2 linked regions of the Diceros bicornis minor genome follow. The protein of the gene in region 1 interacts with the protein of each later gene in a pairwise test. Links are inferred from orthologs where the notes say so. Each region holds a gene or a part of one and is shown on either strand. Other genes may lie near its edges.

Region 1 (7,705 bases):
ATTGTTGGGCTCCTTTCACTGTCCAGGGAGATGCATTTACATACTGCACCCAGTAAGAACAGCCTGTGGGTCTCCTTTATAAAAGTTGAGTAGCTAGAAGCCTCATTCAGTGTCTCCAGTCCAGATGACTGAAAGAAGACCAATTGAAATAGTGAAGTCTCTCGTCTGGCTTGGGCAGCACAAATACTGTGCATAAAACACTTGGAGTAGTCCAGGCACAAGACAAACCCACCTGAATGGACGAGGAACACTGTCTGTTGCCATGGCAGCCTGATCTAATTACATGAGTGATCAGGGCTGGAGTAAGTGCAACGAAAACCTACACCACTGACAGTATCTTCATGATGAGAAAGGCAGGCAGGAGAGCCCTTCAACCTCTGCTTTACAGAGAAGGTGGCATTCAAGACCATTTGTGTGTGGAGCTGCTAAAATATTGACTGATGCATGCACAGTTAGAGGGCAATCAGAGGAGATTAAACGCCACAGCATTAGCCGCTATGGTGCAATCCCTTTCTACGAGTTCATGTGCAGGATTTTCCCATCCTTCTCTCTGGTTCTTCCTCCGGCATAACGGCATAAGCTTCATTCCAAAAAAAGCTCAAGTATCCAACTACCTTCACCCACCAAATACACCAGAGGGTGGGCTTAACAGGAGCTTCTAGGAACTGCAGGGCTCCTCAGAAACCCAAACAGAAATGGCTTAGCTAACATTGTTGAAAAAGTAACTAGCTATGACTAAAAATAACCACCAAATAACTACCCACTGTGTGTGCTCTATGTAAAGATGATGCTTAAATATTAAGAATACCCTGCATTATAAAACACAAATGTCATTGAGATGTGACTACTAGATTCCCAAAGGAGAACTTATTTGCATACACACATTGCCGTGCATGCACGACAGGATGTGCAGGGAGCATGCCACTCTAAGGCATTAGTTTTTATTCTGTGGGTGTAATAGGGTCTTCTAATTTTGCTAATTGTATCCTGTGGATCTCACACGGAAGCTAAGAATCTCTTCGGGGACAGAACCAGTTTGGAGGAGTCCCTACTGCACAGCATACGGTAAACAAAATAAAAATAGCTTGCCGTTCTCGTTAGCCACATCGCGCATTATATAACCAGCTTCCGACTGGCTTTTTTTCCCCCCTTACTACTCTTCAGCAATTTCCCAACCTTCCCAACTATTTATATTACCCTCTTATCTGTCGGATTATATACTAAGAAAGCAAAACAAAACAGAGCAGCCACGGGATTGAACCGAACCCCACAGTTCTTAGAAACTGATTTTTTTTGTTGTTTTCTGGCAGGATCTCCAACATCACCCTACTTCCACCCCCCACTAAGGTTCTTGCTCAATCTCCCTAGAAAACCTGAATTGTTTCATCGCTGCCAGTCAGCCCACTACGTGGTCTGACATAAAATGAAAGCACAAGCTACAGAGTTTAGGAAGGCGGCCTGAGGGCGGGAGGCTGAGGAGGGGTCGGGGCGCTGCAGAGTCAGCCAAGTGGCCACAGAGGGGGCTCCCTCCCCATGGCGACTGCCCTCGCTGCCCCCCTCCCCCGCGCACACACAAACACATACGCACACGCACTCGCACTCACGCCGGGCTCTGCCACCGCCTCACCTCTCGCTCCGCCCGTCCGGCCCCCTTCCCTGCCCCCTGCGGGACCGGCCTGCGCGCAGCTCTGGAACCACGTAGGAAGAGGCAGCGGCGGCGGCGGCCGCGGGAGTGGCAGAGTCTCCAGCACGGCCCAGAGTGAACGAGCAGCGGGGCTCCAGGGCGCATCCCAATCCCCGCAGCGCCTCCTCCGCCGCCGCCGCCTCCTCTTTCCCCTCCTCCTGGCTTCATTCACCCTCTCAGCAGCGGCGCAGCCGTTCACTCCCGGCGCAGGCAGGGCAGCGCCGGCCGCGGCTCTTCTGCTCCTGCTGCGGGCGCTGGCGGGGGCGCCGGTCCGGGCCGGGGCGCTCGCGGGCTCCCGGCGGCGACGGCCGCTGCACATGATCAGGAAGCGGCCGTACCAACAGGGCGGCGGTGGCGGCAGCCAGGGCCGCCACCGCCACTCCAGCCGCGCTCCCGGCACCCGCACGCCGGCTCCCCTCGCTCCCACCCCTCCGCGCCCCCAGCGCTCCCACCGCCCGGCCGTGCGCAAAGTCCCGGCCTCCGCGGGGAGACCCCCACCCTGGGGCTCGCAGGCCAGGCGGCCACCCGCGGGGAAGCCTAGCCCTCCTCCAGACCCACTGGCTCTCGCCGCCCTCTTTGGAGAGAGGGAGGAGGGGGCCGCGGGAGGAGGGGGCAGCGCGACCCCCGGCAGCCGCCGTCTCCCCTTACGCCACCTCAAGGGAGGAGGACATGGCTCGCCGCACTCTCCGCCGGACCGGCAGCCGCGGAGCGGGGCACCGCCGCCGCTTTCCCCGCCCGCGCCCCCAAACCGGGCGCACCCCCTCGCCCGGCGGGCGCCCACCCGGCCCCGGCAGACCCCCTGCCGGACGTCCCTGCGCCCAGAGCGGGGGTGTCGGCCCGGGAGGCTGGAGCAGGGGAAGGCTGTATGTACACACGCACACATACACACACATAACACAACACGACGCGTCGATTTCCTTCGCTCCTCTTCCAGCTGTTTTTCGTGCCGCCGATTGGGGTTTGGGGTTTGGGGTTTGTTTGCCGGTTGTTGCTTTTACCCCTCTCGGGAGAGCGGGGATGGGGGGGATTTTAATCTAAATAAGGGGAGAAGGGGATGGGGGGAGGGAGGAGGGAAAGAATCAGAGGAGAAAAAAAAATAGCCACTTACTGTAAAGTGTAAATGGATCTGGGGTTGCGTGGGGAAGGGGGGGCAGAGGGAGAGAAACAGTGTCTTGCGGCTGCTGTAGCTCTGGCTGCTGCTCCACGGGGCTTGTTTTGGATCCCCCTGCAGTGAAACAGGTCCTGTACGGCTCCGCCACTGTAGTAGAAATGATGTCTGCGGTATACTCTGCTCTCTCCTCCTCCTCCTCCTCCCCCCGCTCCCCTCCCCTCCCTCCTCCCTCCCCCCTCCGCCCGCCCTCCCTCGCTCCCTCCCTCCCTGGCGCTCTCTCGCGCTCGCTCGCTCGCTCCAGTATGTAAATGTGTAATAGAAGCCAAATATGGAGCAGTTGGCTGCCGCCGCCGCAGCTCAAGGATCCGACTTGGGGGCGGGGGGGCACCCTCTGGCGGGCGGCGGAGAGAGCCGCTGTGAGCACCGCGAGCGCGCGGCGCAGCGGCGGCCCGCGCCCTTAACCCTTCGGTGCGCGCTGCCCGGGCTCGGCGGCCCCGGGGGAGGCGGGCGCGTTTCCCAAAGACTGGATTGCGATCGGGGTGAGGAGGGCGGGAGGGGAGACACGGGCTGAAGGGGAGAGTTCTTCCAGGTTTGGGAAAGGGGCGGGGAGCTGAAGCGATGAGGTAATTTTAGCGGTGACCGGTCGGTCCTCGCGCGCCTCCCCGGGTCCCTGCACCTAGTTGGAGAAAACAGAGCGACATCAGGGTGCAACTCGGGCACCCTGGAGGACTCTCCGAGGGGTGTCGGGCTTCAACTCCGAGCCCATGAAATACCCCAGGGGAAGGGGAGGTGGCCAGTTCTGATCCCGACGTGCCCTTCGTCCCCGGCGCGCCGAGAAGCATCTAAGAGGGCTGACTTCGATCGTCATGCAAGTTAACCCTGAAACCGGTTTAGCTTGGGCTTTCCGGAACCCAGACCACCGGGCCGCGGGGATTGCCTTTGCGTGCAACTCAAGAAAGTTTTAAGGGTCCCCCCGATTGCACGTGCACCCTTACCTTTACTGCCTGCGAAAACCGGTGACCTCCCTGCTCTCCTTTTTCTCTCTGCAGGTCCGGAAATCTGCTTGGGGTATTGAACTACCCAGCTCTAGCCTTGGTAGACGACCCGCGCACTCCTCTTGCAGCTAATTCGGGATCATTAATTTAATCGGAAATGAGGTAACCAGTGTAGGAGATAAAGAAAGCAAACCGAGCATCGAATGGCACTTCTTGTGAATCCGCGCTGAAGAACTTCCTCTGGACTCAATTTTTAAGTGCGGTTCTCAACTCCCCACCATCCCGCCCCCTCGGCATCTACCACTGCCAGGTGTTAGCTCGATGGGAAAGAATTTTCTTTGGAGGGGTGCACCTTGCCAACAGGTGTGGCACCTGGAGGAAGAGAAAGCACATCCACGCTATAGCGAGGTCGGTGGGGCGTTCTCCTTAATGCAGATAATTCTGGAAGACCAGTAGGTGTCGGGACAGCGTTTGACTTTCTTCAGGTGCTTAGAACCAAGTGTCTGGAAACATGATCCTTCCACGTAAGTTTCTCTCGGGAAGCCACCACTACTGACTGTAAGCTGTATTTAAGAAAACTTTTGGCTGAGTTTACTTATGATCTAACGGTTAGTCACCAACTGAAGCAGGATACAGAATCACCAAGAGAAATATGTCAGCTTTTAAACAACTGTATTGTAGAGTCAACGTGCTACAGAAATAAAAATAAGCATACTAACTAGGAAGGTGTAGGGCCCCGGAAATCATTTTTTTCTCACATTTTGAAATACCATGCACATATACATGGCTACTTAAATAGAATTACTCTTGTTCACTCTTACTCATGTCTACAACTTTTTTTTTATCATTTAACAATCAATGATTGCTACAGTTTAAACCTCGAGGTTGGACTAAGGTGATATTGTTGGTCTCCTTACAGCCTCTAGTGGACAGTTTAAAATCAGTTTTCTGAAAAGGCTCTGCCTGGTGGTGTTTTCGTTGACAAGCATTATCAAGGTGAAGGTTAACATCTCAGAACATAACCGGGTAATATCTCTTCCCCCCACTTGGCAGAGCCGGCTTCTGAAAGGAGCAGAAGCTTGTTGGCTCTGCACGTAAAAGCCGTATGCGTTGTGCGGCAGGTATTATATTACTGGCCTGCGAATAAACAGAGAGCTGCTGCTATTCATTTCAGTTTCAGACAGATTTCATAAAAACTAAATTCATCTAAAATATTTTTATAACAGAAAATATTGGTTGCCATGTTTTTGGCTTAACTGAGATGTTTTTATTCCAACTCCTGATCTGCAGACTGTCCAATCCACCTCCACTTTATTTTTAGACATCTTACGTGTAGAGAATTTGGGGTGAAAAAGAGCTAATCTTTTAATTATTACATTGACATAAGCAGTTAGTTTAAGTTATTTTAACAGCCTTAAATGAAAACACATAATTCAGATTAGAGTTAGTCAATTAATTTAAATGTTCCCTCAAGGAAGCGAAATATGTATATTACCGAAACAGTAAGAACAATTAATAAAAAATGTGTCATTTACTTGCTTAGCCATTAAGATTAAAGCCATAAACTGCCATTAAAATCTGTAACTGTTTCTTCCTGCAAGGTCCAACATAAACATAATACTCATGATGGAGTTTCTTTACCTTCAGTACTGAAATGTTTTCTTTTCAGATGGCAAAATATTAAACGTGCAATCACAAACAACTGGCACTGATTCTTTAAAAGCAAGACTTTCTCATGTGAATAAAAACTCAATGAAAGAAGAGATGGCTTTTCAAGAAGCCAGTAGACAAAAATGTGGTACTATAGTCCTATTCATAAACTTGATACTATATTCGTACGAGCATAGGCCAAACTTTGAAATTAGAGCAAATTGAGAAATAAGGCCTGCTGAGCCTTACTCCTAATATGTGTTCTGGATTGCTTAAACACCATGGAAAATCATTTTCAACCCTTATGTCTATTTCATTGTTTTGGTAGTATCTACTTTTGAAGGTTTAAAATGGGCTATCAAGTATATATTCTATCATATAATTATGTATTACATCTTGCTTCTGAATGCGTAATCTTCAGAGCAACAGCAGCAGCATCTGGGAACTTTTTAGACATTCAGAATGAGAGTTCCACCCCATTCTACTGAATCAGGATCTGTCTTGTGATTCCTAAGCACATTATAGTAGGAAGAACCTTGTCTATACTGCAGGGCCCTGTCTAGATGAATCTGGCCACAGCTGCAGAACTTAATTCTTCTATTTATTCCTTTTTTACTCCCTCACCCTGTTATTAATTTGCACTTGTTAATGGAAAATTATTATATTTTATGCTTTGTTCAAATAGTACTGCATTTCCAAAGAGCCCTGATTTATGCACAAATCTGCATCATCATTGCTGAGAGAACACTCTGGGAGCAATGTACTGGGGTCTTGAATGTGAAGGTTTTCTTCACAGCAGCAGAGGGAGCACAAGAGTGCTTAATAAAACCAGTGCATGGGCCCTCCAAATGGTAAGGGATTTTAAATTGTACTATAAGTTTTCATTGGAAGTAACCTCTTACATCATTCAAAACAAAGCAAAACAAAAACAAGCAAACTCAAACAGCTTACCAAGTTATAACAACTAGATAATTGGACAGATTGGAAATTAAATACAATATAGCTATACTTATTTAGAGTTTAGGCTTGAATTCTTAGAAAGTAAACCTCAAAAGTCATACTTGGAAAAGATGCCTTAGTTTTTCTCCCGTCAGAAATAAAGATAACAGGATCCAGAATAAAAGGCAACTCGAAGAGTAACTCCTGTTTATCTAAAAACATTGGGGTCAGTTAACCCAACACTACGTCAGATCAATTCATTTCATTTGGAGTCAAATATGTTGGTGAAAAAATGTGAACTTTTCACCATGTTTACTTTCACAGTAATTGTAGGGGTTTATCCTTATGTTTGCAGTGGTGAGGGTTTACGTTTCAGTTATATCTATGTGGCATTTCATACTTGCACAGTCTTCCGCACTGCATCTTCACACACTTCTGTGAGGTGGCTGAGACATAGGAAAGCCGAGCCTCAAAAAAGTTTTGGAACCAGGTTGTGCCTTGAGAGCACTGGGTCATTTAATTGTTACAATAATCCATTCAGGTGTTCAGAGAGGAGGGGAATGGTAGAAGTTCAAATCCAGCAGCGTGTTCTTTGCAGTTTTAACAGTTTTTCAGTTACTAGATAGTGAATGTTTAATAGTGAATATTTAAATAAGAGACTGTCTTAATTCTCAAGCTGCTTCTCATGTATTTATTGTTTATTTACCAGCAGCCATTTATTTTGCATCTACAATAACTAGGATCTGAGAATATAAAGATGAGTAAGACATCTCTGTCTGCAAGGAATTCACAGCAAAACAAATCTTAATCTTTTGAAAAAATGTTCATTTTGACCATGATGAAACTTAAAGATTCATAGTTGATTGATCCAGCACCTCTCAGAGTCATTACATCAATCAGACTTCCAAATATGAGAATCAAATACTAGAATCATTGAAAATCTGGGAGGTGGGAGGGCAATTGCATAACATCTGGAAGGTGGGAGGGCAAAAATAATTTGAAATATTAATATTTCAAATTTGTAAAACAAGCAAAATGCAGAGATGTATTTTATCTGAATGCCTTCCCTAACAAAAAAATCTTATGAGTAAATTCAAATGGTAAACATTTATTTATTTATATCTTTAAAAAAATTATTAACAAGAATTTCCTCCTACGCTAAAGAAAGATTTGCCAAGTTTCTGCCTGGAGCAATTTGTTATGGCTGTGTCATAAATCCTGGAAAGTTTGAATTTTTAATGGAAACACTGACAGACCTTTGACCATGCTATTATAAGGAGGGTGTTATCCTACATATGTCATTTAAAAATCTGAGCAAATCATAGT
Region 2 (7,461 bases), on another chromosome or scaffold:
CAATCACTGAACCTGCTGATTTTCTCAGCTGTGAAATGCGGAGTAGCACCTAGACTGCTGGCAGGATCACCAGGAGGAGAGAGAATGCACATAGTAAGCACTCAATAAATGGTAGCTATTCATATTTTTACTACACTGAAGAATACAAGGGCAAGTGGTCCAAGATCACCTAGTAACTTAGCAGCAGAGGAAAGAGTTTTGGATGCCAAGCCACTGATTCCCAGGCTGACTGATTCCCATTACATAATTTTCCTTAGGGGTGTGAGTGTGGATATTCCAGCTAAGTCTCTTGCCTTCTGACCCACAGTCCTACTATGTTTCTGAACTGGCTTCAGCAATGCTGTAGGTAGTTCTGGAGCTGATACAGCAAATGCTGTTATTCTGTCCCAGGGGAAGGATGCCCAGAAGAGATCATTCAGAACAGCAGTTACTCTCTAGAGAATGACTGCCTTCAGCTTCAATCCCTGGCGTGAGGTGTTTTATCAAGCCAGTGGCCTCCATACCTCACACTCTAGTCCCTTTCACCTCATCCTCTTGCTACCTCAAGCTCCTCCCTTTATCTACCCACTGGTCCTGGTCTAAGAGCAAATCAAGAACAAAGTCCAGGGCTACTCCCTACCTAATCAGATAGATTTATCCCCTTTCCAGTTTAATTTGATATTCAGCCATCCTCACTGGGCAATCCTTTCATTAGAGGGGAATGGGCTGAGATAATAAGACTAAGCAGGCCCCAGCACGGAAAAGACAAGAGAGAGGGAATATACAGGGTTACAGAGATCTGAATTTGAGCCTCGCTCTGCCATTCCCAGCTATGGATCCTTAGTCACGTCCTAAGCCTTAGTTTCCTTATATGTAAAACTGGATAAACTAGAGCCTACTTAGGAGGGCTATTATAAAAACTGAGTAAGAAAGTACCCATAAGAATTGAAACTTAGTAAATTTTGAACACTAACTACACACCAGACACTAGGTACTCTGATTTACTTCACTGAATCTTTACAACAATCCTACAATGTAAGTCCTGTTATTAACCCCATTTTACAGATGAAGAGCCAAGCACAGGGAGGTTAAGTAACTCATTCAAGATCACAAAGTCAGGAAGAGATAGAGCCAGGATTTGAATCCAGTACATCTGACTCTAGAGCAGGGTTCCTCAACTTTGGCACTACTGAAATTTTGGGCCGGATAATTCTTTATGACTGGAGGGCTGACCAGTGCACTGTAGGATGTTTAACAGCATCCCTGATGTCTACCCACCAGAGGCCAGTAGTACCCCACATCTCAACGATGACAACCAAAAATGTTTCCAGACATTGCCAAATGTCTCCTGGGGGACAACACCAGCCCCTGTAGGAACCACTGCTTTAGAACTTGGCACAGGACTAAATGCTCAATATATATGAGTTCCTGTTTTCGTGTCTCTCTCCGAGCCCAAACACCTCATTCACAGACGCACTGCCTCTTCAAGCTCTAATGGACCTTATATAGGATTAATTCCATCTACTTATTCAACTGATGAGGAAAATAAGGCCTGCGGTCTTGTTCCCTCATCCTTTGGAGGTCTCACACACTATCGGCTATCACAGCTTAGGGGAACAGGGAGAGGGGAGCTTAGGCAGATGACCTTGAATAATTTCCTGCTTCACGCTCCCTTTGACAACTCTCTTCTCCCCCCAAGCCTACCACTTTCAGCAGGCCTGGGCTCAGAGTGGAGTTAGTGGCAGTACCATGGCTGCCTCGGGATAAGGGATCTTTGGTTCATGAGTGAGGGCGATTCTGTCCCTCACAAGGAAAGTCAGGCTCCTTCAGGAGTCCTGATCTCTGGAGACATGACTTCGTTGCTGAACCCCTGAACTCTCCTAAAGTTCATACACTCATATATGGTTTCATACATTACTTCTAGGTCCTTGGGTCCCCAGAACTCCTTTTACTTCCCATGCAGAGACTTCAAGAAAATTTCTTTAGCAGCCCATGACACCAATCCACAAATCTATTCGGAGTCCTTTAATTCTACAGTTCATTTGGTACATCCCCACCCCACCATTCAACCCTCCCCAAATCCTGTTCCCAACTCTCTTACAATATAGAATTCCAGCCTTTTGGGCTCTATATTGCAACCTTCACCGATTCTTCACTCATGCACCCCAAATCCCTCTGACATACATCCTTTAATCCCTGTTTCCAAATCTCTGCAGCCGTCAACCCAGCATCCCAGTTTAACACCCCAATCCCACACCTCAATCCGAGCCCCCATCCCCTGCATTCCATCAGGCATTGTGCCGCCCTCCAACCTTGCTCCTTCCTCTTTTACCCACGTCATGGCACACGTTGCCTTCAAACCTTAACCAGGTCCCTTCTTTCTGCTAACAAGATACTGCTTCCCACTGATCCCCCAAGAACTCAGGCTCTCAATTTTCCCCAGATTCCCCCTGGGAAAACGCTGCCTCCTTAGCAAATAGGATAGCCCCTGACCCTGCTCCCTCTGATCTCAGATTTTGCGGCCCCCCCGCAAGAACAGTGCCCCCGCATTCCCTCAAATCTCCTGAGATTCTGCACCCCAGATTTCATCAGGGCTCCCAAATTCCTCCATATGTCCGAAATTCTGCACCCCTGATCCCTTCAGGGCCTTCAGATCCCCTCCCATCTCCCAGATGCTGCACACCATCTCTCCTCAGGGCCCCCACATTACCTCATACCTCCTGACATGTTGCACCGCGAATCTTCTCGGAGCCCCTCGCTCCCCTCCCGGAGCTGCATCTTCTCCTAGCTCTTCGGCCCCCTCGAATCCCTCCCGAGCCTGCCCCTTACAGCCCCACCCCCACCCCGGCCCTGCCCCTAGGATCCGGCCCCCAGACCCTGCCATTCGGGCGTGGGCCGGCCGCTGCACGCCAGCACAGCCCCTGCCCCGCCGTTCAGCCACCGTCCGTGACTCTGCCCGCGGTCCCTCGTCCCCCACCCTCCTTCCCGCCCCCTACCTGACCGCCCGCGGCTCCGACGCGTCCACCGTCGCCAGCCCACCCGCCCGCCGCCCTCTGCGCACGCGCCAACGCGCGGCCCTTGGCGGGCGCCAATTCACAGAACCGCCTGTCCATCACTGCGCCCCGCCCCCCCCCCCCCGAGGCATGCTGGGGCTTGTAGGCTGGCTGGCGCGAGTGACCGCGTAGGGGCGAGGTCTCCGCTGAGATATGCAGAGCTTTAGGAACACGTCACTCAGGTTCCTGTCCCCGTTGTACAGATAAAGAAACTGAGGGCCATTGTACAGATAAAGAAACTGAGGCGAAAGGGGCCTGCCCAAGTTCCCTCAGAGTCGGGAGGTAAACCAGAACTCACGTGTCTGACTCCAGTCTGTATCAACCCCGTCGCTAAATCGCATCCTCCAGGAGTGGTCCTCAGCAAAGCCTGGCGCCTCACAGAAAGGCCTCTCTGAACCTCAGCTTTCCCATCTGACAAAAGGACCAAGGAAATACAACTTACCCTCGGGGGCAAACACAGAACCTGGGCTCGCTTAGAAACGTAGTTCTTCTGGCCCCATGTTTCTCCCTGTGACACACCGCCGCCTAGAGACAAGTTTATCTGATGAACAAATTGTTCTGCTGAAGGAGTCTTACGCCTACTCAGCTGCGAGGCCAACAGCAGAGGTAAATATGGGAATACAGTCTGCAGCTCCTGTCCCTGCACACTGAAGATACCCAGGAACCCACACCTGAGTCTAGCTTCGAGGGAGCCAGGAAAGGGTAGAGTCTTCCCAGGTGGGAGGTGGTCTGGCCTCCTGGCTGCCAAGAACCTGTGGCCCCTTAGGTAGTTTGAAGCCAATTACCGGCTCTTGCAGGTGACCATGTAGTATAGGTTAGGAGCAGGAAGGGGTTTGGAGTAGGATGGGCTTGGACTTGAAATCCCACTTAGTTATGTGACCTTGCACAATGATAAAACAACAAACAAAAACAGTAGCAAAGCTAACATCTTTGAGCACTTAGTGTCTGGCTGCAGCTGAGCACTTCATATGCGTAGTTCACTTCATCCTCATAATGACCCTATTAGATAAGCAACTGATGCCCAGTTGGTTAAACAGCAAGGCCACATGATCATAAGTATAAAGCCTAGATTGGAACCCAATTCTATATGAGAATCCACCCTCTTAACCTTGTTTAATCTTGCTGCCCATTTTTTTCTCTAAATGGAGATGAAGTTTGCTGTGAGGATTAACTGAGATTATGAATATATAGTGGTTTGCACTTAATTAATGGTAAATATTTTTTTAAATTCCACTTAGCTCTTACACTCTCTGGACTGCTGATTCCAGAAGCCCCAGCTCCCAGCATTTCAGATATTGAGGGCAACAGGAGTCAGAGTTGGTATACTTCATGGCATCCTTTGAACAGGCTAGGGAGCTCTGGGGCTATCTGAGACCTCAAGGATATACTTGCAGTCCAGGGCCAGCTAGGGTTTGACCAGACAGGCCAGGAATAGGTTGAGTCAGGAGTGGGCTGAAGAGGGGGCCCAGTCAGGGACTCATGGGCCCTGGGGGCAGGTTTTGCTCAAAATTGGCAGCCCGTGGATGCAAACAGAACCTTGCAGGGCCAGGGGAAGAGAAGTACGTGCTTCTCCCACCTTCCTGAGCTTCTGGGAACTCCGAGGTGCTTGCTGCATGCTCAGCAAGTACCAGGACTTGTAATTTGATGACTTCTCGCAAAGCACATACCAGGTTGGGCTTTAATTATCCACTTCCCTGCAGTCTTCACTAGTGGGCTGAGGGACAGTGCCTGTTTGTCATCACATCTATTAGCTTAGTGCCCAGCACATAAGAGTTGCTGAGTCAGACTTAGAAATGTGACCTTAGGCAAATCATATCCCTGTCTGACCTAGAGTTATTCTAGCTGCAGAATGACTCAGTGGGGTCAGTTGGGAAAGAGCGGACCATTTTTTGAACACCAGCAGTATACCAGGCTCTTCATAGATATTGTCACACGTCACAATTAATCCCCTTAACAATGACTGAGGTAGATATCAGTAGCTGCATCTTGCAGAAGAGGCAACTGAGGCTCAGCAAGACTAAGTACCTTGCATATGGTCACCTCCTGGGAAGTGGTAGGGCTGGGGTACAAACCCAGACCAGTCAGGCCTATGACACACTGAACCACCATCCAAAGACTCATCCACATTTTATGACACCAGCTATCTTTCTATTTTGTTGAGTAAGGCTTGTTTGTAAGACTCAAAAGAGAGAAGGAGAGATGATGATGCTTAGGAAGTCAAGGAATATGGGGCAAATCATGGCTGTTGTCAAGACCACAGAGCATGATCCTGGTAAGGCAAAGACACCCAGATGAGCTGGTCTGAGCGGCATTGCCAGAGAAAAGCAGGAATTGCCCTCTGCCCTGGGTTCCTGCCATGTTGGAGACTCAGAGTGGCCTGTTTTACCAGAATGGCAAGGAACTTCTCTGGACAGGGGCCTGGGTACTTCTACCAGCCCCTGTCTTGTAGGTGGGGGCAGATGGGAGAGTTGCTGTGAAATAGTTTAAGACCTCACTTATACCCTCTTCTCAGACCAGGTAGGGAGTTAGCACCCTGTTTGCTGAAAACCACAGTTACCATTTACCACTTAAACTACCTATATCAGTTTCCTAGCCTTTTCATAACAAAGTATCGCAAACTAGGTGGCTCAAAACAAGAGAAATTTATTTTCTCACAGTTCTGGAGGCTAGAAATCTGAAATCAAGGTGTCAGAGGGGCCATGCTTTCTCTGAAGTCTCTGAGGGAGGATCCTTCCCTGCCTCTTCCAGCTTCTGGTGGCCCCAGGCGTTCCTTGGCTTGTGGTAGCATAATTCCAGTCTCTGCCTCCATCTTCTTGTCGTCATTTCTCCCTGTGTAGCTCCGTCTCCATGTGGCATTCTCCTCTCTGTGTGTGTCTCTGTCTTCTTATAAGAACACCAGTCAGATTAGATTAAATATGACCTCTATCATGCCTAATTAAAATTCCAGTGTGACCTCATCTTAACAAATTACATCCACAATGCCGTTATTTCCAAATAAAGTCATATTCTGATATACTGGCGGTTAGGATTTCAACATATCTTTTTAGGGGACACAATTCAACCTTCAACCAATAACATCACCCTATGGGCTAAGTATTGTTTTCTCTATTTACAAAGAAGATCTCTAATTTAACCTCTCTTTAAAATGGGGATAACAATAGCTAATTCACAGGATTGTTGGGAGAAAATGAGATACTGGATGTTAAGCATTTACAGATTAGGATGTTGCCTAACATGTAGTAATGTTCATTGTAGTAGTAATGTTCATTGTATTGCATTTATTATTATTGTAAATAAGTTTGTTTATTAAGTCCACCACTATGTAGTAGAAAGAGCAAGGACTTTGGAGGATCCCAGTTCTACCCACCCAGTTCTACCCACCTGGAAGGTTATTTGGGGGAATAGATTAGAAGATGATTTGAAGGAATGCTTGGTAACTTGTTGCAGCTGACAAGCTCTGTAACCTTGGACAACTTACTTAGCCTCTCTGTACTTAACTTTCACCTCTGCAAAATGGGAGTAATAGTACTTATCTACCACATTGGAATGTTGTGAACGTTAGATGACTTAATAAACCTAAAGCTTTTAGAGCACTGCCTGGTAAAGAATAAGTGCTCTATGAATGTTAGCTACTGTAGTCATTATTATTATTGTTATTATTGCTATTCTCTACAAAATATTCTCCTTTTCTTCTCTTATTAGCAACTGAATTCTGAGAAGGAAGAGGAATTTCTTGCTTATAAAATGTGGGGGAGAAAATGTAAGCAGTTAAGCTCTAATACATCCCAGCCAAATTTGTCTGAGTCTAGAGATTTAGAATTGCTAGAATTTTCATGAAATAATATAAAACTATATCTATCTGTATTACTTACCTATCATTGGGCAATAAATGATCCCCAAACTTCATGTTTTAAAACAACACTCATTTCTTATCTCATAGTTTCTGTGAGTCAGGAATCTAAGCACAGCTTAGCTGGGTCCTCTGCTTCATGGTCTCTCACAAGGCTGCAGTCAAGTTATTGGCCAGGGCTGGGGTCTCATCTGAAGGTTTGGGGAAGGATTGATTTCTAAGATCACTTATGTCGTTGTTGACAGGTTTCAGTTCTTTTTTTTATATATAACATCATTTATTTGTTTATTTGTTCATTCATTCATTCATTCATTCCTGAGGAAGAGTTGCCCTGAGCTAACATCTGTTGCCAATCTTCCTCTTTTTTTTTTTCTTTCCTGAAGACGATTAGCCCTGAGCTGACATCTGTGCCCATCTTCCTCTGTTTTATATGTGGGTCACCACCACAGCATGACTGACAAGTGGTGTAGGTCTGCACCCGGGATCCAAACCCGAGAACCTGGGCTGCCGAAGCAGAGTGTGCCAAAGTTAACCACTATGCCACAGGGCTGGCCCCAGGTTTTGGTTCTCTAAGACTTG

The links.
Region 2: the proteins of ATXN1 (region 1) and TRIM32 interact in binary tests that used the Homo sapiens proteins (3 or more experiments, as listed by UniProt). The link is inferred for Diceros bicornis minor from reciprocal best matches to the Homo sapiens genes ATXN1 and TRIM32.

What each region holds. Positions count from the first base shown.
Region 1 is NC_080753.1:50,433,741-50,441,445, reverse strand, and holds the start of ATXN1 (ataxin-1), read right to left. Parts: upstream 3,015-7,705; 5' UTR 2,793-3,014; intron 1,954-2,792; exon of another isoform or gene 1,628-1,953; intron 1-1,627. UniProt on the Homo sapiens protein: Chromatin-binding factor that repress Notch signaling in the absence of Notch intracellular domain by acting as a CBF1 corepressor. Binds to the HEY promoter and might assist, along with NCOR2, RBPJ-mediated repression. Binds RNA in vitro.
Region 2 is NC_080767.1:24,431,540-24,439,000, reverse strand, and holds the start of TRIM32 (E3 ubiquitin-protein ligase TRIM32), read right to left. Parts: upstream 3,011-7,461; 5' UTR 2,976-3,010; intron 2,738-2,975; exon of another isoform or gene 2,690-2,737; intron 1-2,689. UniProt on the Homo sapiens protein: E3 ubiquitin ligase that plays a role in various biological processes including neural stem cell differentiation, innate immunity, inflammatory resonse and autophagy.